Drosophila melanogaster: one gene and its partners. The protein of the gene in region 1 interacts with the protein of each later gene in a pairwise test. Each region holds a gene or a part of one and is shown on either strand. Other genes may lie near its edges.

Region 1 (9,802 bases):
ACTGCGAGGGCACCACACTTTCGGGCATCGAGTTTGAGCTCCAGGGCAGCGGCTATCGCTTGTCGCTGGTCAAACGGCGCTTCGTTTCTGGTGCGTTTGAATATACCATACGTGTAATATAAACAGCATCGTAACTCTTGTTTACTTTTCAGGAAAATATGTGTGCGAAGGCGATGGCATTCGCAGTGGAGCCACACCCACGCCTCCGTCGGTCGGGTCCACCAGTCCGTACTCGGCGAAGTCAAATTAGTTACTCCCCACTCAATAGACGGCAAATGGGAACGAAAAATGGCAATATGGCAATAGGCTCGTGAAAAACTAGAGAAATTTTTGTAACTAATCTTAAATATGAGACAACCACATATACACCCAAACCATATTGAATTAGGCACACGAATAGAGGAGCCTACATAGTTTTCTCTGAGCTTTTTATTATACCCCCCTTTCTTGATTTCGAAATGGACATCACAATGCGGAATGAAATTGACAAACTTTAAGATTTCCACAGATCGAAGCACGACAAGATTGAGGAAACTGGAAATTCTATCAATTCGCATTCCAACAGTTTAGATCCAAACGAAATCGAAAGTGGGACCTATTATGTATTTTTGTACACACAAAATTCTGTTTTTCACGCGAAATGTTGAATCTGCCTGCGGGAGGTCCGAAATGCGGGCCTGCAAAATCTGGATGTATTATTTGTTATATATATACGTATGCGAGTATATATTATTAAAGTGTATTTATTATGTTTAACTGAATATGATGTAAACGAACGATATTGTATGTAGCTATGTAGATATCTAAAAACAACACACCGAACGTTAATTTTATGTTCACTTTTGTACACACAACCAAATCCAAATGTATTAAATGTAAGATACAAAACCTGCACTGCGTCTTGGCTCTTGGAATCTCGATGGATATTGCTTTCGTCACCGGGCATCATCTGGTCTGGATAAGGCGACACCTCGGGGCGGTGCTCATGCAACCGGAGTTTGTCGTCGTTTTCAGCGACTCTCGTTTCTCCGGCGATCAATTAATTATCGAATTTAGGCAAAGAACATGACAAACTGGTTTCGGTCTCTTTGGGGCGCCTGGCAAGGCGAACACATAAATACATACATATGTACATATAGGAAATTAGCAGGCCGTTGAAAATAGAACAAGAAATTAAATGAAATGAAATGCTGAAATCAAAATCATTAAAATGTGGGTGCACAGATCTCGCTGGGGAGCATTAGCCTAAAATTTAATTTGTAAATTTCTGTAAGAAATGTTTTTAAAATCGTGGGGCAGCTGTCGTTGTGCTACCATCGAAAGGCGATGACGTCATGCCGCCGCCACAAATTGATCTCAAGGTCGAGTCGACGGACGCGTTTTCATTTCACTTGGCACACTTGACTGGTGGGCTGCCTTTTAAAATACAAAAAAAACACAAATTGCACTCGTCCATTAGGAGGCAGGAGACTACCTATATCTTGAATCTGTTGGAATCTCCGGCAATATGCGAATCCAATGGATGCAAGGGTGACTGACAGGAGGAGTACAAAAAATACTTTACACTTCCTATGGTTAGCTGAGCGTATAGAGATCGCCGACGCTGGCGAACGATAAGATTAAATTACTAAACAATTGTGTTCATACAAATGCATATTGTATATTGCCATTGCCCGCGGGTACAGAACCCATTAATTGTTTAACAAAAGCAACCCAACCGACCCAACAACACTGATGTCTGTTGATATATAAAATTAACAGCCCTGAAATCTAGAACGCAGTCGCTGCTGTATTTTTAGTTAGATAACAAATTATTAACAGATGCTGGGCGCTGAGCTTTTCGCAAGTCAGTTTAAGGAGTTAGATTAATAAAAGGTTTCTAATCTGTTTAACAACATTGCACTTTATTTATATTGACTGCATTAGTAGTGCTTAAGCATATACATACATATATTTATATAGATATTACTGGTATAAATTAGGGAACAAGCTCTCTGGCTTGTACTTTTGGGTTTTATTTAACAACTTTCTAAACTAACATTAATCGGTTTAAAATTATGTGGTAGATTAGTTTAATTCCGTTTGTCTGACAAGCGCACCCTATATAAAAACACACAACTCGCCCATATATACACATCCATACTGTTTTTGCTAATAAACAGTCAACTTTCGGTGATCAGTTTCAATTCGCCACCCAGCACAGTGGTACGAGATTCCTTGAAATGCCAGTTGGAATTTCCAAAAATTTTAACACAATCTTCATGGCTTTGTTTACAACTTGGGCATATAAACAAATATGAATCAGTGGCGTTTCCAATAGTTACCAATCTTATCGAACTCGGCCATCCACTTGTCCCACTGTGCATTTAGTCAATTCAAGTTGATAGTACCCATGTGTACATATGTTTTAGCTTCGCCATAAATATCGCCGACTTCTGAGTGTGTGCGTGTCTAAATAAACTACGGCTGACATCATTCCTGTTAACATATTCGCAGTTAAGCTCATTATATCGCAAGACACAATTTCGTAAAGTGATTAGTTAGTACATCTTGCAGCACTGGGCTCCTCCTCCGCATAATTCCGCATGATTCCGATTCCACTGGCCTGCAAGAGATGAAAGAAGAAATCCGATTTAAACAAGTTCGTAAATTCCAATCCCCACCAATCGTATCTACATATGGTTGTATCTATATTGTACACGCTCGTGGATAATTGCTTAATTGCGGATCAAATAGATCATTTGATCGAGCAAACAATGGGGGTCTGATGAAAAGTTGGAGTGCTCTTTTAAATATTAAATCTCTTTTAGACCATTTTTAAACCTCCCGTTTTATTTACAGTAACTTTTTACTGAACCTCGTCGTCGGTAGTGGAATAATTGAAAAAAATAAACGCAAACGTGCCTGGAATTATGTTTTGAGTGTTCGGCATGCGGTTTTTCTAAAATGCGCAATTGACGCCCGCCGGTTCGGTTCGCCTGAATTTATTTCAACTTTTGCGCTATATTGAGACCGAAAACCGATTTCTATTGCCGTCTGTTTATTTGCATATTCCGCTTTAAGGCTCAAGTGAAAAAATTCCGAAAAAATTCAAGGTGGAATCGAACGATCGTTGGAGAATAATTCCCAGCAAGATCAACAACGAGTCTCTCGCTCTTATCAAGTGATTCAAAAAACGATGTATCTTTAGAGCTAAATAAACAACAGAACCAAGCTGAACAGGGCAGAACAGCAATAACTATAAACTCTATATCTTCTGTGGGCAGATCTTATTTTAGGCCCCACAATTTGCAGCCAACTGTTCGACGCTATTATTATAGCATAGTGGATCACCTGGCGGCCTGATAGCGAATATATACACAAATGCCAACTAATGAAAAGTTGCCTCCATAGCATGGCAATGCACAGTTAAGCGCTATGGCCTTATCTGGCGACCTCAGCACATGACCGTGAACGAAGCAGGGGGAATTAATCAAATCGAAAGAAATACCAAAATTGGGCTGGTGCCACTCCTCCAGAACGTGGCGACCCTGCAATGGATGTGCATGTGTTGGATGTCTTTGATTCTGTTCGATTCTAAATTCGAAACTCAATCATTTATAGGCAACTGACTCATGACAGAAACTTCCGTTGCGAAAAACGTGTAGCCAGAAGATATGTTAGCCAAATGCTTCTACATGGCGCTCTTGGATTCGTATGTATGTATGTACATATAGCTATATATATCTATATGTGTGCTACGGCAGTATATGGAAACCGCTAAACAAACAAACAAACAGCCAGGGCGTTATGTAAAGTAAACAATTTGAAGACGAACCCAGGCGAACGGAAGGGCCCCAGAAAGTGAAGCGTTTTTAATAGGTTTCCCATTTGTAGCGCAGAACGATGATGATACAGTGACAGCTTGGCAAGGCAAATATTGAAAGTTTCTCTGGACATTGCTTGAGGCCCACAAAAATTTGAAAAAGGGCAGTGAGATATAGCCAAAATTATTGTTCCGCAAGCACAACTAATATCTATTTTAAAACAAACAACAAGGGAAAGTCTCTAAAAATAAGAATGTCTCAACCAAACCACGGAGAAACAATTTGTTTCAGACAAATACAAATACGATGCTTAAAACAAACAAATGCCGGAAAGAAATCGTTTCTAGAAAGTACTTTTTAAAACGTTTTTACGACCAATTTTGTTTGACCTTTAGAAAAATGAATATAGAATTTGAAATTTGGAGTCTAAAGAATATTTGTTTGTTTTAAATTTCGCGACTAAGCTCACCCTCTCGAAGGACTACTGTAATTGTCAATTTCGCCTCCCAAGGCCGAACCGCACCCAAAATGTACTCTAATTTACGACCCATAACAAAACTGCACCCGTCATGCGTCTCACCTGCTTGTGCGCCATTCCACTCCACGGATGGAAGTGGAATCCAGCCTGCTGACCTGTTGACCCGTGCCACGCCCCCTCCCTCCTACAGGACGTAGTTGCGCAGCTTTTCGGTGGGCAGTGTCCGATTGGCGAACGAGACAATCGCCGCCGCCGGCTGGCTGACGGACAGGTCGCAGAACACATGGCACTGGTTGTCCGTGGAGCTGTGCGACCTCCTGGCCACGAAGGCGAAGATGGTCTTCTTGTCAGACTCGCCCTCACTGGTCCACATCCTGTTCTCCGGATCGATGGCACAGTGCGAGATAACATCCGCCTTGTAGTGCTTCCGGAAGAACTTCTTGCGCGTATTGTCCGTGAGCGTGATGCCCTGCGAGGAGACCTTGAAGTGCACCTCCGTGGGCTGCGGCAAGGGTTGCTGACCGTACATCTGGCGGATGGCCTTGCGGATGGCCTCGTTTCCTGTCAGCGATTCCGTGTCGCAGGAGTAGAGCCACAGCACATTGGTGGCTGCTCCGTGGGCCAATAGATGCTGCTGGGCAGGGGTTGTGGCCCGCACCGGTGGTACTATATCCCGATCGGGCAGACGGAGGAGACATGGCAACGCCAGCTGGCTTATGGAATGCTCGAAGACGAGGGCGGACAGTGAAGTGAACACCGGCTCGTCATCGCAGCCCTTCAGATGCACTCCCCCCTTCGTGGGCTCGATGAGGAAGTGACGCACCAGCTCCTGTGAACCGGGAGGCGGTTGGGACACCCGCACCACCAGGCCATAGGAATCCTTGTACGTGGTGGAGTCCCTGACCAGGAACGTGCCCGGCTGGGCAGAGGCCAGCAGAGCGATGGCATCTTCGCGAGTGAGATTTGGTTTGTACCAGAACTGGGACGAACTACGGGCAAATTGTACGGAATCGGCGGACACCTCGAGTGGCTGCAGTGCAGGCGGTACGCCACGACGTGGCCCTGTTTGGTAGATCGACTCTGGGGGCAACTGGGTCGTCGGCGCCAGAGACGCAGATGATGATGATGATGCCCCAAAAGGCGTGCGCGGCGTGACCGGAAAGGCGGGCGTTTCTGGCCTACTGGTGGGACTAGGCGTCATCTGCTGTTGGCCATTGGTATTTGGGTTGCTCACTCTCTTCGTACTGGTGGCATAAATGGGCGAAGCTGGTGCTATAGCTGGTACTCCTATTGCCGGCAATGGCGAGGTGGACTTGGATGTCGATGTGGATGCGGAGAGATCGCGACGAGTGCGCGTGAGTGTCTCCTCCATGTGGTTCTGGCCATAAACGGCGCCCAGTTGCTCCAACGGCTCCAACTGCTGGCGTTTGTGGGTCGTTTCCAAGCTGTTAATTGTGTGATAATTGCGTTCCATGGTCCGCCGATTGACCACGCCATCTGGCACATCCTGATCCAGCCGCAGATCCTCGAAGTGAATATTCCTCGTGGTATACGGTGTAGGTTCGGGCCTAACATCATCCAGATTCAGATTGAACTCAAAATCGTAGTTGTATTTCGTTGATTTCCCATTAGACGAGGGGCTCTTGCGGTATAGGGTTCCATTGCTATCGTTCTTCAGCCCAATTCCATAGCCATCGCTCGGGTAGTATTGCCTCTGCGGCGGAGCGGGTGCCACTCTGGCCCGCTCCCCGGACGACTCCCTATCCAGATTCCTATATTCATTGTAGACCTTTTCGCGTCGCTCCCGCAGCAGCTGCTCGAAATTATCTCTCACCGGCGTCGGCGTTGCGCTGCTCGACGTGTAGTGGTATGTATTGGCTATGGTGTTGGTATTGGTCGAACTGGTGGGACTAACGGCATTGCCCAGCGTTTTGCGCACCAGCAAAGGGCTCGTTAGACGTGTTGGTGGCTTTATCATATCGCCAGTACCGCCATTATTGCTAGAACTATTCGAATTCACATTCGTATTCGTTGGCCCGAAATCAAAGTCTAGAAAACTATCCACTCGCGTCGGTGTCGGAGTTTTTCGCAACGGTGTCGAAGTTTTGGCTATGCCATAGCTAAATGGCAGCGAGTTCTCGCGCGCGTGATAAGGTATTCCATATCCATTGCCGTTTCCAATTCCATTTCCATTACCAATTCCACTTAGATTCCCATTTCCATTCGCCTGCCCATTGCCATTCACATTATAGTTTTTATAGTAATTATTGTTATTATTGGCCGCGGTGTATTGGTATTGATATTTGTGGTCGGCGGCAGCAGCGCTTTCTTCGTACGGCGTCCGCATTGTTTCGCGAATTCCAAAAGACTGATTCAAAAAAAAAGGTCGAGAAGATACAACTCAAACCGTAGAGTCGGCGTTGGCGTTCCGCTCTCTCTCTCTACCTCTCTCTCGCGTGGCAAGTCAAGCAGCAAGTCAACCTCCTCAAGTCAGTTTCTGGTTCGCCATGAGTGGGCACAGTGGGCTAGGCCCTCGTCAACCCATCTTTTAGGTAAACATTTCTAATTATGAACTTTTAATAGTGCGACCAACCTGGCGTATGGGTAATATTTTTGACAGATTTGTGGCAAAAGTGCGTATGAGCAACATTTGACCTTGTTCGATCGTACGATAGAAAAAAACTTTACAGTAATTGTAATCATTTATAACAAGTATTAAAACTACATTATCAATATATTTCACAAAATTGCAATATTGGTTACTTGTAAATTTCGATTTTTGGTGACACCAAAAACTGTATCAACCAAATCCAGAGATATTGCGAAAGTGAAAGAACAGCTTTATAAATAGAACTGTCATCGGGTATTTATTTAATAATCCCACGCCCACTGTGCCTCCAATGCTCACAAGTACACGCCAAAAGGTGTTGGATGCCAAGAGAGATCGTTCCATGAGAGAGTGCACATAGCGGAGACAGGGAGAGAGATGCGATGTGGAGAACGCGAGTCGAAGAGAGTGGAGCGTCGGTGATGTCATCCCCACTTATTGACGAATACACACGAAGGAGAGCCCCAGCCAAACGCACGAACTAATCAAAACAAGCAATCGAAGCCTATACAGATTAGGAGCCCCGTAAAGTTCGATCCGTGCACGTTGGACGCGAATTTTGATCAAAGAACCCGCACATTGCAGTCCCAATTGGAGACCAACGTGTGAAGCGATCCTATTGGAGTGCAATTGATAACAGCTGTGGAAGATCGCTCCCTCTTGGACACCTCTCTCCGTCTCTCTCACGTAACAAGAAACCTCAATTGGGGGGCTTTTTGAAATGGTAATTCGCCGATGGCACCCACTGTAACTTCGGGCACGTTCTTCCATTGAATTCTTGGCGTTTTCATCAATTAAATTGCCTATTTTTCTTTAAATGAGCTTCATTTGCTTTCCGCTGAGTGAAACAAACGAACTTTGTTTATGCCACTTAAATGGGGTTTTCTTTATCAATCAATTGCGGTCTTGTGTTCCAGCAGGTTCAGGTTGCACTTTCCCAATGAACTTTTGTGGCTATTACACATACACCATCAAGCGAGAGGCCACAAACGTACACTTGAAAAAAATATTGGTAAATTTAATAAGAGACTACAGTAAACAATTTAAATGTCTTTCAGACTTATGTATTTTGATGATTATTCTAGAAAACCCTAATTAGTTATTACTCTTACTGTGGAAACTGAAGTATGTTTTCCACCATTTACATTTTTCTTTCAGTGGAACCCATAGAGAAGAAGCTGTCGCATCTTTTTTTGATTTCTCAACATTTTCTTGTAGAAAGTGTCGTGGTGGGCAAACGAAACAACAACAACGAATATAACAACAATGGCTAAGGCATTATAATTGAAACCCCAACAGTTAAGTGACGTCAGTGGAGCAACAGCAACATGGCATAAAGAAAACAAATCAAATTCAGCGAAAATATGCGCTTAAAAAAATAAAGTATGAGAAATAACTGCACAAATCCTCTGTCAATGCCAGCAGAGGTGATCTTCTTCTTCATCTGCTCCTTGCCATGGCTGTTGTTGTTGTTGTTCTTTCAGCAGCCAGTTGTGGGTGGCAAATAAACAAGTTGCTCTCTCGCTTGCTCACTCGCGTGGGGCAGACCCCACCGCCTCTCTTTCGCTCTCCGGTGACCTGTCGCCGCTCTCTTTCGTTGGCCTTAGTTGCGTCCCTAGTTGGCAACTCGTTTACCTTTTTCGTATTTTTTTTTTCGCTTTTTGTCTTGCAGCTTTTCGCTGCGAACATCTGTTGTTGTTAACTCTTTCTGCCGCAAATCTGTTGAAACAAAGTCATGTGGAATTTCGGTAATGTCAATCAGAGCCATATGCTGTGACAACCGGGGATTGCGGGCCCATCTGGCCATCTAATTTTGGCCAAAACGATGGAAAGCTATCGCATGGACTATTACTGATAGTTTGAGTGTGGTTTTCGGGTGTGCAACATACGCATTCGATTCAATTGATGCGAATGTCCGCATCAAGTGGTCGTTTCGCTTCCCACTCGAAAGTTTCCAACGCTTAATCAAGTTTGGAGATTGGACTGTCATATGCATCTCAAGGGGATCCTTTCCAAGGCTCGGAAACGAACTTTTGGATCGAATGCGTACATGTAATGTGGCTTACACTCGCATGAATGGGCTTGGTGAACTATATAGATCTGTGATCTCATTCAGTTAAAGTTGAATTATTCATTACCTTTGTTTAATAACATTGAAATATATTTATAACTATGTGGGTTGTGTCATTTCCTGTCAGAAGTTTGCGTCTTATTTTTGGCTTTGTTCTAAAACTTGTTTGGCAATATACTGGCCAATATTGTTCTGAAACTTCCAGATGCTGATAATTTAGCACATGCACAAATTATTGTGTTCCAAATAATTGGTCGTAATGCTTTAGTTTTTCAAGCACCAAAGGAAAAAAACACATAACTTTTTTTATTGACGTTCATTGAATTTTATTGAAATTTTGCGAGTTAATACAAAACCGAAAATAGAAATTAATGCAATTAACATTAAAAACGCCCGCTCACCGTTACAATGCCACTGAAAAACGTTTGTTTAATACTATGGTTAACTGATTTACAATTACTAGAAGAGTGTCTCGGTTCTTGTCTACAAAAATGTAAAATAATAGTCACATTTAAAATTGCATAAATTCTAGACAAGTGTAGATGTTATAGTATGTCGTACATATTGTTTTTTTTTTACTTTTTTTGTTTTTTTGGAGAAATTCTCATGCATAAAATGTTTTTGTATTTCATAATCATTCTTCTTTCATATTTTCATTTATTTGTTGTTGTTGTAATAATTTGGAATTATGCATTATATGTTTTAAATTTTATTGCATTTTATGTAATTAAATATATATAACGTACATCACAGCAAAACTTTATAATTTTTTTTGTTTGTGTTTTTCTTGGTTTTTTTTTTTTTTTTGTTTTGTTACTATAAATATATTTTTATGATAA
Region 2 (7,323 bases), on another chromosome or scaffold:
TCTGGCGGCGGTCTCTTTTTATGCACTTGCAGTTTAGTTGGCTCACGTACGCGGCCTTTGATGCAACGCCTTTTCGCCGATGCCGACGATTTGCAATTAATTGGGAATTAAATTGTAAGGACGTGACGTCAGAGCGGGTTCGATGTTCTTGTGGGGCGATTCATAAACTCATTTACTAAGCACATTGTTTGTGTTAATACGCTACGTGTGCGTGTGTGCGTGTGTATCTGTGTGTTTGTTGTGTAAAAGGCAAACAAACAATAAGTAGGAGGAGAGCGGAAAACAGACATGTGCTCAGCTCGTTATGGGAGAACAAAACGCTCGGCGCTGCCCAAATAAATAAGCAAAGCGTAAACATGACAGCACCGAGACTCTCAAAAATCTATGCTAATTAGCAGCAATAACAACAAAGAAAGAAGAGTGTATCTATGTAGCCGAGAGAATGTATCTCGAACCCATACCCATACGCAAATACCCCCAACATCATAAGTGCAAAGCCAACAAATCGGCAGGCAGCCAAACACTCGGAATACAAATAATCACAAAATGTGAATGTTCAGTGAATGGGAAGTGTGGCTAAAAGCAAACATTCGAAAGATCACAGTAAACGGAAAAGTTGGAGAGAAAATCTTTGAAAGTCACTCCAAGTCATAATGTAATTATACCAATTCAAAATAAATAATTAGATTAGTTGAAAACACTAGAAATCACTTGCTTTGAAACTTTACGACAAAGATAGAGATCGCTTCAACTCTATGCTCTAGATATCCCTTAAATTTATATCTCAATCCGCTTTATTGTTTTATCTAAGGGAAGATAAAAACTCTGTAAAGAAATTCCCAAGCGAGAAATGAATCACAGATCTTCTGCCAAGCGCATTTGTCGAATCAAATCTTCATGAAAGGCTTCTTTTGATGACCCCTCTATCCATCTTTAGATATCACAGTTCAATCTTTAGTAATTTCCCAAGAAGTTATCTTGCTAGCTGCATTTGATTCCACAAAAACCACTTTCATTGAAAGCAAAACTTTTCGCACACAACTCACGTTCTTTATCAAAAATGCAAAATTTATCAGCGATAGCCCAGAAAAGATAACTAAAATGTGTGCTGTTCTACAGCAAATTGGGCGAGGCGTAGAAATCAATTTCAAATTTGTTGATATTACGGGGCAAGAAAACTGAAAATAGAAGCCGCTACAATGGATCCACAGATATAGATAGCGGCTACTTGGATGTTCGTCGTACGTCAGTGATTCAGGCAACTTGGTGGGGCCCAAACGAAATCCAAACGGAAACCGAAACCAATTGAGAATACACATTAAGTGAGTGGGTTTCTGAGGAGGGGAAAGCGATCGTTTAGTATTCCCTAATTGGTATACCCGTGTCTGTCACACTGTGCAGAAATTGCATAATGCCCGGGCCAAAACCACCACATCACGTGTCTGGTTCGTCTGGCACCTGACAGACCCGCGAAGATACTTCAGTTCGGATTGGTTCTGGTCGGAGGAAGTTAATGGAGATGATGGGGCTGTGGGCCAGACAGAACAAGAGAAATTGAAAGCCATTAAGTACCTTTAAAAATAAAAGCGGAATACTACTAACCGCATGGCCCACTGGGATGATACATGGGAGAGCTATACATACATATATGCGCGTGGATATATGTTGCTTCAATTATTCAAGAGTACACCGAAAACAGAGACTTGTGACCACAAAAAGCAAAGAAATTACGCACGAAAAATATCTTTAAAATGCCATAAGTTGTATATAGATACACAGCCAGCGCAGACTCATCAGATACACAAGCACACACATCGGCCAGAAGATACATATAAGCAAACTCGAACTGTGGCAAACTATTTCCGTATTGAGTTCTCTTCTTAATGCCCTGCATTGAGCCATTTTGGGTATATTGCACGAAAGTTTTTTAGATCAACCACTTAAAAAATTAAACAATTTAAGTGGTTGGAAAACGGTTTATCTGATTTCATTTGACCTCTAAATTCTTTATTTTCTCTTAATGTCTTACATCTTTCATTCCTGAGCATTTATCAACCGAAATTCAAGACAAAAATGTGTTTGTGACATTTAAAAAAATTTATTTTCGAAAGCATATATTCGTTAGCTTAAATTCCACAAACAAATTATGTACGTGTTCCAAAAACATTTTCTAATATTTATGAATGTGCCGAATATATTTTCGAGCCGTGCGTTTCTTTTCTGCTCATCTCGGATTTTATGAGTTTGTTTGGCTTGTGAAAATTGCATTGACCTAGAAGTCATATTGTTGTTTTTTTTTTCGGTCTCTTTGGTATTTTGATGTCTTTGGAATACCCTGCATTCTGATTCTGATTCTGTTTTGGTTTTGCACATTTCTCTCCCGCTCTCCCGTACGACTTTCTGTTTTCTACGTACATGTATGTATTGTGAACATGAGCATCGTTATGAATTCCCCGATTTTCCTTTTTGTGTGTATATTTTCAAATACTTGCCACTGTGCATCCGAATCGGGCTGTCTGTAAAAATGTGTGTGAGTGGGAGACTGGGGAGCTAGCTCCCGGCTGAGATCGTGGAAAGCCCACGGCCCATTCCTTGTCCGTCGGTCGCCAGCGCCACGAGGAACGGGAAGCGCGATCTTAAAAAATATTTAAAAAACTTTTCACCCCGTGTCCCCGTTGCTCAAATCGAACATACCCCCAAAACGAGAGCGAAAGTTTAGTATTCAAAACGCAATTTAATTTGGCGAAAAAATATCGAGGCAATCGGAGACAAAGGCGCGATCTCGGCGGCGAAAAATAAACCTAAAAACATAACGATTTCGGACGCGTGCCAGGCGGTGGGCGGTGGGCGGGGCGGCGTAGACGCCGGCAGCGGCAGCGACGTCGCTGTTTTATTTTTTTATTTTCTTTTTTTTTTCGATTTTGCCGGCTGTCGTCGCGAGCAGAATGCCGCCGGCTCTCGGTTCTGGTTCTCAGTTCAGTTCTGTTTGAGTTTCTGGCGACGAGTGACACACACAGAGGGAACTAGAAATAAACGACACCGAAAAACGAAACAACACTTAGTTGTACTGTAGATTCTGGCTGATTAAGAAACACGAAACACGAAGTACTCACTTACACACAAAAACACATATATATCTCACACACAAGGAAAACTGCATTAGTTCAGATCGAGCGAAAGTGCCGTAGACGATGCCCAATAACCGCAATCGTAATCGCAATCGCAATCGCAACAAACGCAATCGAAACCAAAATCAAAATCAGAATCCGAGCCAAAACCAAAACGAAAACCATCAGCAGCAGGCAGAAGGGGCGGAGGATCGGGAGGAGCAGCAGGATTTCCAAACTCAGATCGCAGTAGCGCAATCTTCTTCCTTCGTAGATGATAATGGAAATTCTGGCAGCGTTTCAAATGGGCCAACGGAAAACAGCGAAGAGGTGACGAACACTCTTGAGAAAACCGAAAAAAAAGAAGAAATATTCGAGCAACCAGCAACAGTCATCCAAAAAGAAGCAGATTCAGACGCAGAAATGGGTGCCAAAAACTCAAAACATCGCAAGGAAAAGTCCGATAAGCAGGCGTCTAATGGAAAATCTGAAGAGCAGGTGCGTCCACCTCCCACCATTATAAGAAGGCCACCCGGTAGCCCCCGGCAAGCCAAGGTCATAGTTCATCGAATTGTGAGGGAAGAGGACACGGCCAATGGCAAAGCTCAATCTCCAGAGCCACCCAAAGCCGTGGAATCTAAGGAGCAGCACATGGAGGTCGAGGATTCAAAGAAGGAGAAACCTGAAGCTCAGCAGGAGATTGAAACTAAGGAAGAACGGGAAAATGAACCGAGTCCAAAGGAACTTCCTGAATCTAGTCATCTTTCGGAGGACGCACAGCAGAAACATGTCGAAGTTGAAGAGAATCAACAAGTTTATGATGAAGTGGACTACTCAAAGGATGAGACCACTGACAATAATCCACAGCAAGAGCAACACGATTCAAAGGAACCGGAGCAATATGTGTTGCAACTCGAAAAGGCAATGGAATTTGTGGAAAATGCACATCAGCAACACGTTGCTGCCGTGCAAAGTTATCAAAAACAGAGAGACACTGAGCAAAATGCACAGCAGCAGGAGCAAAATGAAGCACAGCACCTACAGGAATCAACTAAAGCGCATCAGCAAAATATTGCAGTTCCACAAATCCTTGTAGATCCGAAGAAGAGAGAAGAGGGCCTCGCACAGCAACTGCATCATGATGTGAAAGAGGAACCCATTTTGAATAACGCCCAACAGCAAAATGATGACACTGCACCGAAATCCCCAAAGGAAGTAACAATAAAAGTTCAGTTTCAAACAGAAGATCCTTATTCCCAGCAGCCTCCTCCACAGAAGCCCACCTCCAAGGTGATTATCCACCAGATACACGTGGAAACCACCGACGAAGAGCAAAATGCCAAGCCCACTTTCGAGGAGGTTAGCAGCACTACCGGTTCTCTGGCCGGAACCCTATCTCCACCACCTCGTTATTTGGTGGAGTCGCCGAAGAACGTGTCAAGTGGCCAGTTTTCGAACTTCTCGCGCAATGTGCAAATCCAGGAAATGGAACTGAACAGCGACTTCAGCTCCGGGGAATTCAATTCCCTGCAGTCGCCGCTGGTATGCGAAGTAGACTCGGAATCAGAGGGATCGGTAGTCTTGGGACCGGAGCGATCGCCGTCGGATCAGCAGGTGCCGTCCAGCAGCCGAGTAGAGCAGCATGAGCAGGTGCGCCAGAAACGTGCCCAGTATCGGAACGCTTTGGAATCGCACTTCATGCCGCAGTTGCTCAATCCCCGCTATCTGGACAGCATCCTGGAGGAGAATGAATGGAGAAACTCCACCGCCTCCTCTGGCGGAAGCGATCAGACGGGGATCCGCACTCCCAAGCTAAACGAGACCTTTCCCAGGAGTCAGTTGGACTTTAGTCGCAGACACAAGCGTAGGGAGGAGGCACCGTCGCCTCTTAAGCTCGAAACCAAGCTGCTGGAGGAGTCAACCGATCTGGAGAGCTGCACCCGACTGCAGAGCGCCCTGTCTCCACAGTCTGAAGATGCGGAGCTAGTTTACCTAAGCTCCTCGGCCTCCAGCAGCGTCTCTGACCTCATGGAACTAGAACTAGAGCAGGCTGCCGCCTTGGCGGAGAGAGCCCTCGTAGACTTGGATACGGATGCCAGTCGGTTGATTGCTCGGCCGGATGATGAGATGAGCAGCACTAGTACCACTACTGCAGACAGGAGCGAGACGGAAGCGGAAACGGAAACGGAGACGGAGAGAGAGGGCGAGCAGAGTCGCGAGAGCACACCTGTTAACGCCAACCCGACGCTCGCCAGTTCGCAGTCTTCGCTGCTGAGCGCCGCAACGCCGACGCCGACGCCGACGCCCACTCCCGCCGATCGAGAACAATTAGCAAAAGATACAAATGTATCTGGTGGATCGACTGTTAGTTTCGGGGCAGCATCGCCGCTAGCGGCCACGCGCGAGGAGTTCGTTCGCAATATGGACAAAGTGCGCGAGTTGATCGAGATGACGCGGCGCGAACAGGAGCAAGGTGAACTACCGCGATCGCCGTCGCCGCCGCCCGTTCCCCCACCTCCCGCTTCCGTGCCACCCTACAGTCCCGAGTCTTCCTCGTTCCACCTAGCTTCCTTGCAGCTGAAGCGGCAGGAGTCGAACGACTCCCACTGCTCTGACAGCACCACCCACAGCCAATGCACGGCCATCAACCTGGCCAGTCCCCCACCGCCACCCACTGCTCAGCCACCTACACCGCCACTCAGACAAAAGCCTGCACCACCACCCGTACCGCAACCCGTATCACCACCCGCACCACCCACTCCCCAATCAGAGCCAGAGCTTTCAGTTGCAGATTCGGTTGCGAATGCAAATGCGGATGTAGATGCAGATGCCGACACTGATACGGAAGCAATAAAGAAGCTGCGCCTGCTGTGCACCGAGCAGTTGGCTTCCATGCCCTATGGCGAACAGGTGCTCGAGGAGTTAGCCAGTGTGGCCCAGAATATAAGCGACCAATCCCAGAACAAGATGCCCTATCCCATGCCCCAATTGCCGCACATCAAGGAGCTGCAGTTAAACGCCAATGAGAGCAAGTCCTCCTCCGCCTGGCTGGGTCTGCCGACCCAGTCCGATCCCAAGCTATTGGTCTGCCTGTCGCCCGGACAGAGAGATTTGGTAAATAACCAAACCCAACCGGATGACCTGCTCGATGCTCACCAGAAGTTCGTGGAGCGTCGGGGATACCATGAGTTGTCCAAGGCCCAGGTTCTCGAGCAAGACCACCAGCAGCAGCAGAGTGAGATGCTCAAGACGGCGGCCATGATGCGCGAGTTGCGCAAGAGCCTCTCGCCCCCAGCGCCTCCTGTCCCTCCGCCGCCGGTACCGGTGAAGAGCGCCGAAACGGCGGCCAAGGCGACCGCTCACGAAAACGCCAAGAGAGATGACGCAAGCGAACAAAAGCAGAAGATCGCAGCATGCGAATCGTCATCGCTTGAAAATAAACCAAGGCGAGCAGCTGATCTTGGTGCTCAGCAGTCGGCAGAGCAACGCCAGAGCAGCAGCACCACCACCTCCAGCCATAAAGCGACCACAGAGACCATGTCCAGTGACACCGCCAAGTTTCCCACGCTGGACAGCATGGAGAGTGAGTTGGCCAGGATGTTCCCCCAGCACAAGGGCGACATTTTCGAGGAGCAGCGCAAGCGCTTCTCCAACATTGAGTTCCCCAGCCACCAGCCCGTCAGTCAAACTAAGCGGTACTCCAATATCGAGACGAGCAGTTACGAGTCCAAGAAGCGAATGGAAAATGGTCAGGTAGTCTACGATGTGAGCACTTCAAGTCACGAGAAGAAGGAACAGGGTGATCCACCCAAGGACCAGCCCGTACCACCCGTTCCCCCGCCGCCAATTATGTCAGCAACGAAATTAAACGGTAACACTTTCATTGATGGAGACGTGGCGCCCAAAAATAGCCAGCCGTCGCGAGAGAGCGGTAGCGGCAGCGGCAACGGTACGTATGAGGAATTTCGGCAGCGTGCCAAGGCCGCCGCGGATGCTTTTGGAGAGCAGCGGGAGCAGCAAAACGGGCTGGATCAAGACCGCGTGTTCAAGGACTTCGATAGGCTATCGCAGCAGATGCACGCCGAGCTGCAAAGCACTCGGGAAAAGCGGGAGAAGTCCGCTTCCATGTACGATCTCAGTGGCTTCACCCGACCCGCGAGTGGTCATCCGAGACTAGATGAGCTGCAGCAGAGAAGACATGCCCACATGCAGGAGT
Region 3 (7,351 bases), on another chromosome or scaffold:
CTTCGAATCGGGCTCGATTTGGAGTGGAGCTGTCTGATTTCTTGCAGTGCCTCGGTTCGATCTGCTTATCAATAATTTGTTTTTTTTTCTCCTCTTTGCCGCATTTAGGCAGAGATTCGCTGGCGATAGCCGCTCAAGTGTCACACGCCCACATTTTTGGAGCAGTCGATGTCGATGGAGCGGCTATTTGCACATACGCCACGCCAATAAACTTGTACCCACCACCGAGGCACGCTTTGATCCGATCCTCATTCGCAATCTTTACCCCGCTTCCCATTCCTGTTCTCTCGGCCTTTAGTCTTTGGTCTTTGGGGTTTCAGACTTCAGTGCTCGGTCGCCAGTCTTCAGTCTCCAGTCTCCAGCCTTCTCGATCGGCACACGCTTGCGCTGCAGTTGCTCCCCCCCTTTTGGGATTTTCTTTCTTTTGGTCTGACCGATGCTCCGATGGTCGGAGGAACCTTTTGGCCGCTGCCCGATCCCCCGCCCCGCACCTGTGCACATGCATAAATCGACGAATCCACGACCACGAATCCGCGAAGACTTGGGCCTCGCATCGCCGGCGGCAATTATCGCGATGTGATAAACAAATATTTTGCATCTATGGCAAGAGGAAGCGAAGGCTTTCCCGGCATTCTGGCGCTTAATTATGAACTCCGGCTGGGCTTGGGGATGGAGGTAGCCCCATCCGAGTACGAGTTTATTATTATTAAATGCCCTGCGCGTGGCCGCATGCACTTTTACCTGCCAACGTACTTGACTCGTCTTCTGGGAGGTTCGTCGCTTTTCTACCTCCTCATCTTCATCTCGATTTTTTTGTGCCTTTGATTTTTTTTATTTTTTGGGCTTGGCTGTGCGGTTCGCTGGCAGCAGTTGTTGCAATATGCAATTTGGCTGCTTATCTCCAGTTGGATACCAATCAGCTTGGCCCCAAAAACTTTGGTGGGTGGAGAGTGAAATAAAAATTAAATATGGCTCTATTTGAATATTACAGCCGCTTTCAAGGCATTGGGCTCACTGGGCGGATACTTAATGGACAGTAAGATGGTATTAAGATAAGCATTTTCAACTGTGATCTATTCCATGATATATATTTTATTAAATATATAAGAACTTTGTTTTAATGTTAAGAGAGTTGGTATAGTTACTATTGAGTTGCTGATCAGAGAATGTATTAGTTTTTGTGTAGATTTATGAATATTGTATCTATGAGCTACTTTTTGATTTACATTCTGTTAAAATCTATTTGATAGTGAACAAGATAGTATGACTTACTACTAACAAATTGTTTTGTAAGTTTAAACTCTTTACAAACTGCCTGAAAATCCCTTTCATTCCCATTTAGTCACCTTTTGATTAATGACTTTCGTTGCTTTCCATTTGCTTAGAGATTGCCAATTTAAACATTTGCGAATCTTTCGCAAAATCTCTCTCTTTCTGAAAGACGGTGCCCCATTTGATCCAAATAACACCCTTTTCCCAGAGGTTCCGAACATTACGATATTTGCATACGCTGGCTTCCGTGTATGGGTGCTATCCCCCCATCCGCTAGTATATGCATGTGCACATACAGACGTACGGTTGTGTATATATGGACCCCAACGACATTGGGGGCCTCCACCAATTGAAACAAACCAAATGCAAAGTTGTCTCTCCCACAACAAACGGATCTCGGGGAACAGGTTTTACATTTCTGAAAGTGAGACCGAGAGATCGCGAGAGTCCGAAACAAAACGAAACGAACCGAACGAACGAACGAATGAATATTAAACAAGCTCTGTGTTTCATTAGATTCAAAAGAACTCGCCGCTGCTCTCGGTTCGGAGGCTATGGGTAAAGTATACTTGTCTATGGTACGGCATAGTCTGGGAGACAGGGCCAAGTCACCTGGGCTCGGACCAGAGCCACTTGCTCGTTCCGCATCGATGAACAGCTGCTGCTGCTGCCGCTGCCGCCACTCTCTGGCTGTTTCGATTCAAGACTGCGCGAAAGGTTCAGCTTATGGCTTTTCGCTTTTTGGCCTTATGCACGGGCTCTGAAGGCAGAGACACCTCAGTTCGGTTCACAATCTCCCAGCTCCCCAGCTGCCAGCCGCCAGCTCACAGTTCCCCCAGTTCGCGAGAGCGTCGATCGGTCGTCGAGTTCAGTTGGCCTGCGGTTCGTCATCAGCGTGGTTCATGCGGCTCCGACTTTCAGTTCGCCTTTAACTCTGACTCAAGCCCTGGCATCGGCGGAACTCGGTAGTGACTCTGGTGGCTCTCCATTGACATCGCCATCTGCGTCCCCGGGCTGTAATCATAAATATATATATATCTACATACAAACTGGCCCGCTGTACATAGGCCCAGTTAGTTAGTTTGTTAGTTAGTTAGTTAGTTACTTGCTTAGTAGTTGCTGTTGTGCCGTGAATTTTCATTTTCCCAAGAGCGCTATCCGCTGTTTGTATCTTGTGAAATGTCGAAGCCCTTGATTTTAGGCTACGGATACGTTCGTTAGTCAACCTTTAAACAGCTCGCTTTAGGGCCAAAAACTAATGAACAAGTGATTTTAAAGAACGTAGATCAATACCGGTAAAACTATGTAAAAAGTGACACAATCTGTTTAATAAAAAGTTTACATCGTTCCGGTGTTGAAAAGTATCTTTTCAACACCAAGTGCCAATCGAAAATCCAAATTTGAAGTGTGTATTTTTCAATATCTTCAAAATAATCACCAGTGAATAGTGAGATTCAAAAATATATTTACATCACTCGGTGATTGCGAAATTGTGGCCAAAATGTGGGTTAGGCTCTGAGCCACAAACAAAACAAAATCTGACAACAAATGGACGCAAATTCACACATGCCGTGGCACATAAATTTATGGTTGGAACTGTAACTGGGCAAAAATGCTCGGCCCGGCAGACATCAGTAGCAGTAGTAGTGGCACCACCATCACCACCAGCGAACCACCAACCGCCACCACCCACCAATCCACCCGAACCGCCGACAAAGGGAAAAACTAACGGAATAATGCAACATTAAGCAAAATGCTGCTGGCCCTGCTAAAGCAAAGCCAACAACAACAACAACAACACCAATTTCAACCTGCCACCACCGACGTCAGCAACAGCAAAAACAACAGCAACAACTACAACAACAGAAGCAACAACTGCAACTGCAACAACATCAACGTCACCGTCACCGTTACCACGAACATCGCCGTTGCCGTATAAAAATGGAACCCTCATATGATCACGAACATCCACATCATCTGCTAACAAATTACAAGTAATATTTACATTTTTCCCATGCTAAAATTTTTTTCTCGCTGTTTAATTATATCCAACCGAAGCGAAGATACATATCTTCAAGATAATAACCATAATGAAAAATGGAAAAGGCGCTCGTGTAGTGGTGAAGAAATTCTCTAGATCGTACATATATATATATATACAATAAATATGTATATACTTATATATATGGGGGCCCATGACTGCGACTTTTCAAGACTTAGTCACAATCACAGATACTAAGATACTAAGATACAAAGATACTAGCGGCGGGCACGACAGCGAGAAACACCGTCGGGGATGTCGAATGCACACTGTGGCAGTAAGCTACAACTATAAAGCACGGTTATATATGTATAAATATATATATATGGGGGTTATACAGTATATAGTATCTGGGAATTTGCTTAGATTTTCCTTGGTGTGGCCCCAGTTTTCAGACCCCGCAGCACTTGCACTTGTATTCGTATCCGCTTCTCGATTCTCTCCGTTTCCCTCGGCAAACGTAAACGTAAACGTAAATATGTAAATGGTCGACTGCGAATAACTTAAGAACCGTCTTCGGACGCGACTCGAAATTGGTCAAGTGGAAAGTAAACCAAGACGCCGGAGAAGTCGGCGGGGGTGGAGACCCTGGGAAAAAGCAGAGGCCAAGAACGCACAGGCGACGCACCGAGAAGAAGTCTTAACATTTGGTATATTTCGGCCAGAGGTCAGGCCATTATAAAGATTTGTATCCGATCTACACAGCTTGATAGATACGCATGAGGTTTTAATATCCATATATAAGTATATGACTGTATATAAGTATTTCCCCTTTATACGTATTAGCTAGCCATTTCAGCTGACTGACTTTCGTAGTTTCCGACGGGAAATTCCCGTCTACAAATTGGCTGGAATTATGAATGGAAATGAAGCCATGAAATTAAATTAAGTACAGATGAAAAGCTCTGATAAGTCCGCACACACTTTTCGTAAGAAATTCGAAACCGAAAATCACAATTAAGAATGTCTCATGGGCGAAAGCCTGTCGCATTTTTCGTCACATTTTCCAAATCTTCCTGCTTGGGATTGGCTCATCACGGGACGGGGCATTTCATTTCATTCAGTTTGATCTTTTATGGCTGCCCCATAAATCAAGTCAAGGCTGCGATCTACCTAAAGTTTGCTAACTTCGTTTTCAATCTAAATAGTTTTCAATATCAAATAAAATTCTATGGCCAATAAACAACCATCTGTATATGTGGATTTCCAATCAATGTTTGAAAATTAATTAAGGCTTTACCGTGACTAAGCTGGATTGGAAATGCATATATCCAATTGAAATTTACTTATTTCCTTTAGAACTTGTTTTTGATTGTCCGCCTTTTACACATTTCCCGGATACTAAAAGTGAATAGTATTTAAGAATTAATGTTTGCTTGATCATTTCTGGACTTTCCCTACTGCAACCAGGAACTTAAGTTTTCATTGACGTAAAAGGAGATTCCAATGGTTGTAACTTCTTGGAAGAGAGAGATAAATCTTTCGAAATGTTTATAAATCGTGTTTGGACAGCTTAATCGCCTAATTGTATTGATGAATCTGAAGAGTACACTCCTATTTTAAAATGAAATCCTATTTTAACTTGATATAACAGAATTTAATGTATTACAACTACATGCCATTCACGGCAATCAAACTATTATATTATGTGAGCAAAAATCCCTTTCCATTCAACAAAAAATCATATAAGAATTTCTTTAGGAATTTAAATATTCAATATCATCAAAAACAATACTGAATACTTTGTCAGATTTCTAGTGAAACCTTAGATGCGTGCTTAGTAACTGTAATATTGAAGTGGAAAAATAAAAACATTTACCATTAAACAGGATAATAGAGGAGATCGCCAAAGTGGTTAGACATATCCGATTCGACGTAACATCAATGATATGTCATGATTGGCATTAAACTTGGCAGATTACCAAGGAAATTAAATTATTGCTCATTCAACATTTCCCGAATGGCAGAAAAGTGATTTTCGGTACTTTCACTGTAGATTTAAAAACCTGATAAATACTTTTGGTCGATTTAAAAATACATGAGAAAAAATCCAAATCTAACTTGCCGTTTTAAACGCTTATAATTTGTTAACAAAATATTTATATAAAACGTTTTGCAATTATACTAAACTGACCTAAAGTTGGACTTCGCATTTTTAAAATTTCTTTAAAATTGTTTTATGGTTGTAGGATAATTTAAAAAAATGTAAAAGAATACAAATTTATTCACTAACATATACATAACAGAAGATCACAAAAAGCTTAATACACGGGAATACACCCGAAACTAAAACTAAAACTGATTTTAAAAGATATTCCTGCCCGCAAAATCGAACTTACTTCACATGAGCCACATAAATGTTTTCTGAGTAATTAATTTTAATAGCACTAATTAGTGGTCTAATAACATTTAAGGCAGTCAACACCCTGTAAAACGTCAACCCTAAAAAAAAATATAAGGGTTGGAACCTTTGAAAACACCCTGATTTAAGTCCGGTTAGTTGTTTTCGAATCCAGCCAACTAGCTAAGTACGGATCCTCCACATGCAATTACTCTACTTAGTGGTACGAGCATGCAGCACTGCCTCCATTTCCATGCAATCCATATAATTTAGTACCCCTCCACCTGCGAGGGTGTATACGTATAAGTATCTGTATGTGTATCTGTATCTGAGCACGTACATGTATCTGTTGGCTGCGTGTGCTGGTGTGCGTGCTAAAATCCATTAAATTTTTGTATCTTTTTTATGCTCCTAAAATCGCTTGTGTGAGAACTGGGTCTTCGTTGTTTCTTCGGCATGGCATGGGGGTGGGTGGTGCCTCAAGAAGTGGGGCTGGGGGGATCCACAGCGACGACAGCCGCAATAAACCTCATTAGCCGAACGAAAGCAGCAGCTTCGGCAACGTTCGGCCCTCGAAGATGGATGGTGATGATGATGATGACGCTACTCTCTTCGCTTGCTTCATTAGTTTAATTAGGTATGCCCAGGCCAGGTCACACATACATACACACATATATCGCCTCTATATAGAAGGCACAGGTATGGAGGTACCTATACCTTATAGCCCAATCCATTGTGCGTACCGATCTCATTCCCATTCGCAGCGAGGCAGGTAGCTCACCTTCATGTTCATGTTCATTAAAGCTAAGATGGCGGCTCTTTAGGCCCGGATGCTGGGATGTTTATGCTTATTGGTCAACAGCATCTACATGCGGCCATACAGATATATGCATATACGTACGATTATATAGGCGGCCATGCATATGTATGCGTAAATGGCCGATCCGATCGACCGACCGACCGACCGACAACTCATCGCGGCCCGCTGAAAGACCGGGCCTGCGTCGTTAAGTTATTCAAGTACATCACACCTGGGCCGCAGCTCCAGCTCCACAAGTTTATCCATGCTGGCATACACCAGCGCCCCTACCTATGCCCCAACCTCCAACTGGAACTGGGCCCAAGTCGTGCCAAGTCGTTTGGGCCAAACTCGTTTTCTTGGCCTGCGCTGAGCTCCACTGTGCACTGTGCTGTGCTGGGCCTCTGGAAATCTGTTTTGTATGCGGGGCGCCTGCAGCCGCAGCAGGCAGCCAATAGACTGCAAATGGAGCAAATGGAGAGCCACGGCAGATGCCTCTTCGCCAGGCGCTGTGGCCACACCCACCTCCAGGTCCCACCAGCCACCTCCTACTCCGCCACTTTATCCAGATTCAGCCTCGCCAGTCGAGCCGAGCCGGCTTTGACTGTGGCCGAAAACCAAAATGGCTTTTATTACCTTGCCGCACCGCTTGCATTTCTCCACAGGCTGCCAGGCTGCAAAACTGGCCCAATACGAGATCGCAGTTGAGGCGCCAAATGATTTGCCATTCTAGGCATGCATCTCTTTGGTGGGCAAATCTCGGATGCCTAACTATGCAATCGAGCATTAGATTGGATTCTAAGCGGAGCTCGCAATCAGATCTACATAAATTATATATCAAGGTTGTTCATTACCATTTTGCTGGGCAGAAGCTTTCTAAAATGTATATGAAGCTAAT

The links.
Region 2: the proteins of by (region 1) and CAP interact in a two-hybrid assay, tested with the Drosophila melanogaster proteins (one large-scale study listed by BioGRID).
Region 3: the proteins of by (region 1) and Sox15 interact in a two-hybrid assay, tested with the Drosophila melanogaster proteins (one large-scale study listed by BioGRID).

Annotation. Positions count from the first base shown.
Region 1 is NT_033777.3:9,526,354-9,536,155, forward strand, and holds by (blistery), read right to left. Parts: upstream 6,659-9,802; 5' UTR 6,632-6,658; coding exon 4,469-6,631; 3' UTR 4,387-4,468; exon of another isoform or gene 2,606-4,386; 3' UTR 1,885-2,605; downstream 1-1,884. Other genes in the region: CG8176 (uncharacterized protein), read left to right, coding at 1-90, 153-250.
Region 2 is NT_033778.4:10,276,150-10,283,472, forward strand, and holds the start of CAP (CAP), read left to right. Parts: upstream 1-2,586; 5' UTR 2,587-3,191; coding exon 3,192-7,323.
Region 3 is NT_033778.4:14,207,203-14,214,553, reverse strand, and holds the start of Sox15 (Sox box protein 15), read left to right. Parts: upstream 1-2,140; 5' UTR 2,141-3,213; coding exon 3,214-3,266; intron 3,267-7,351.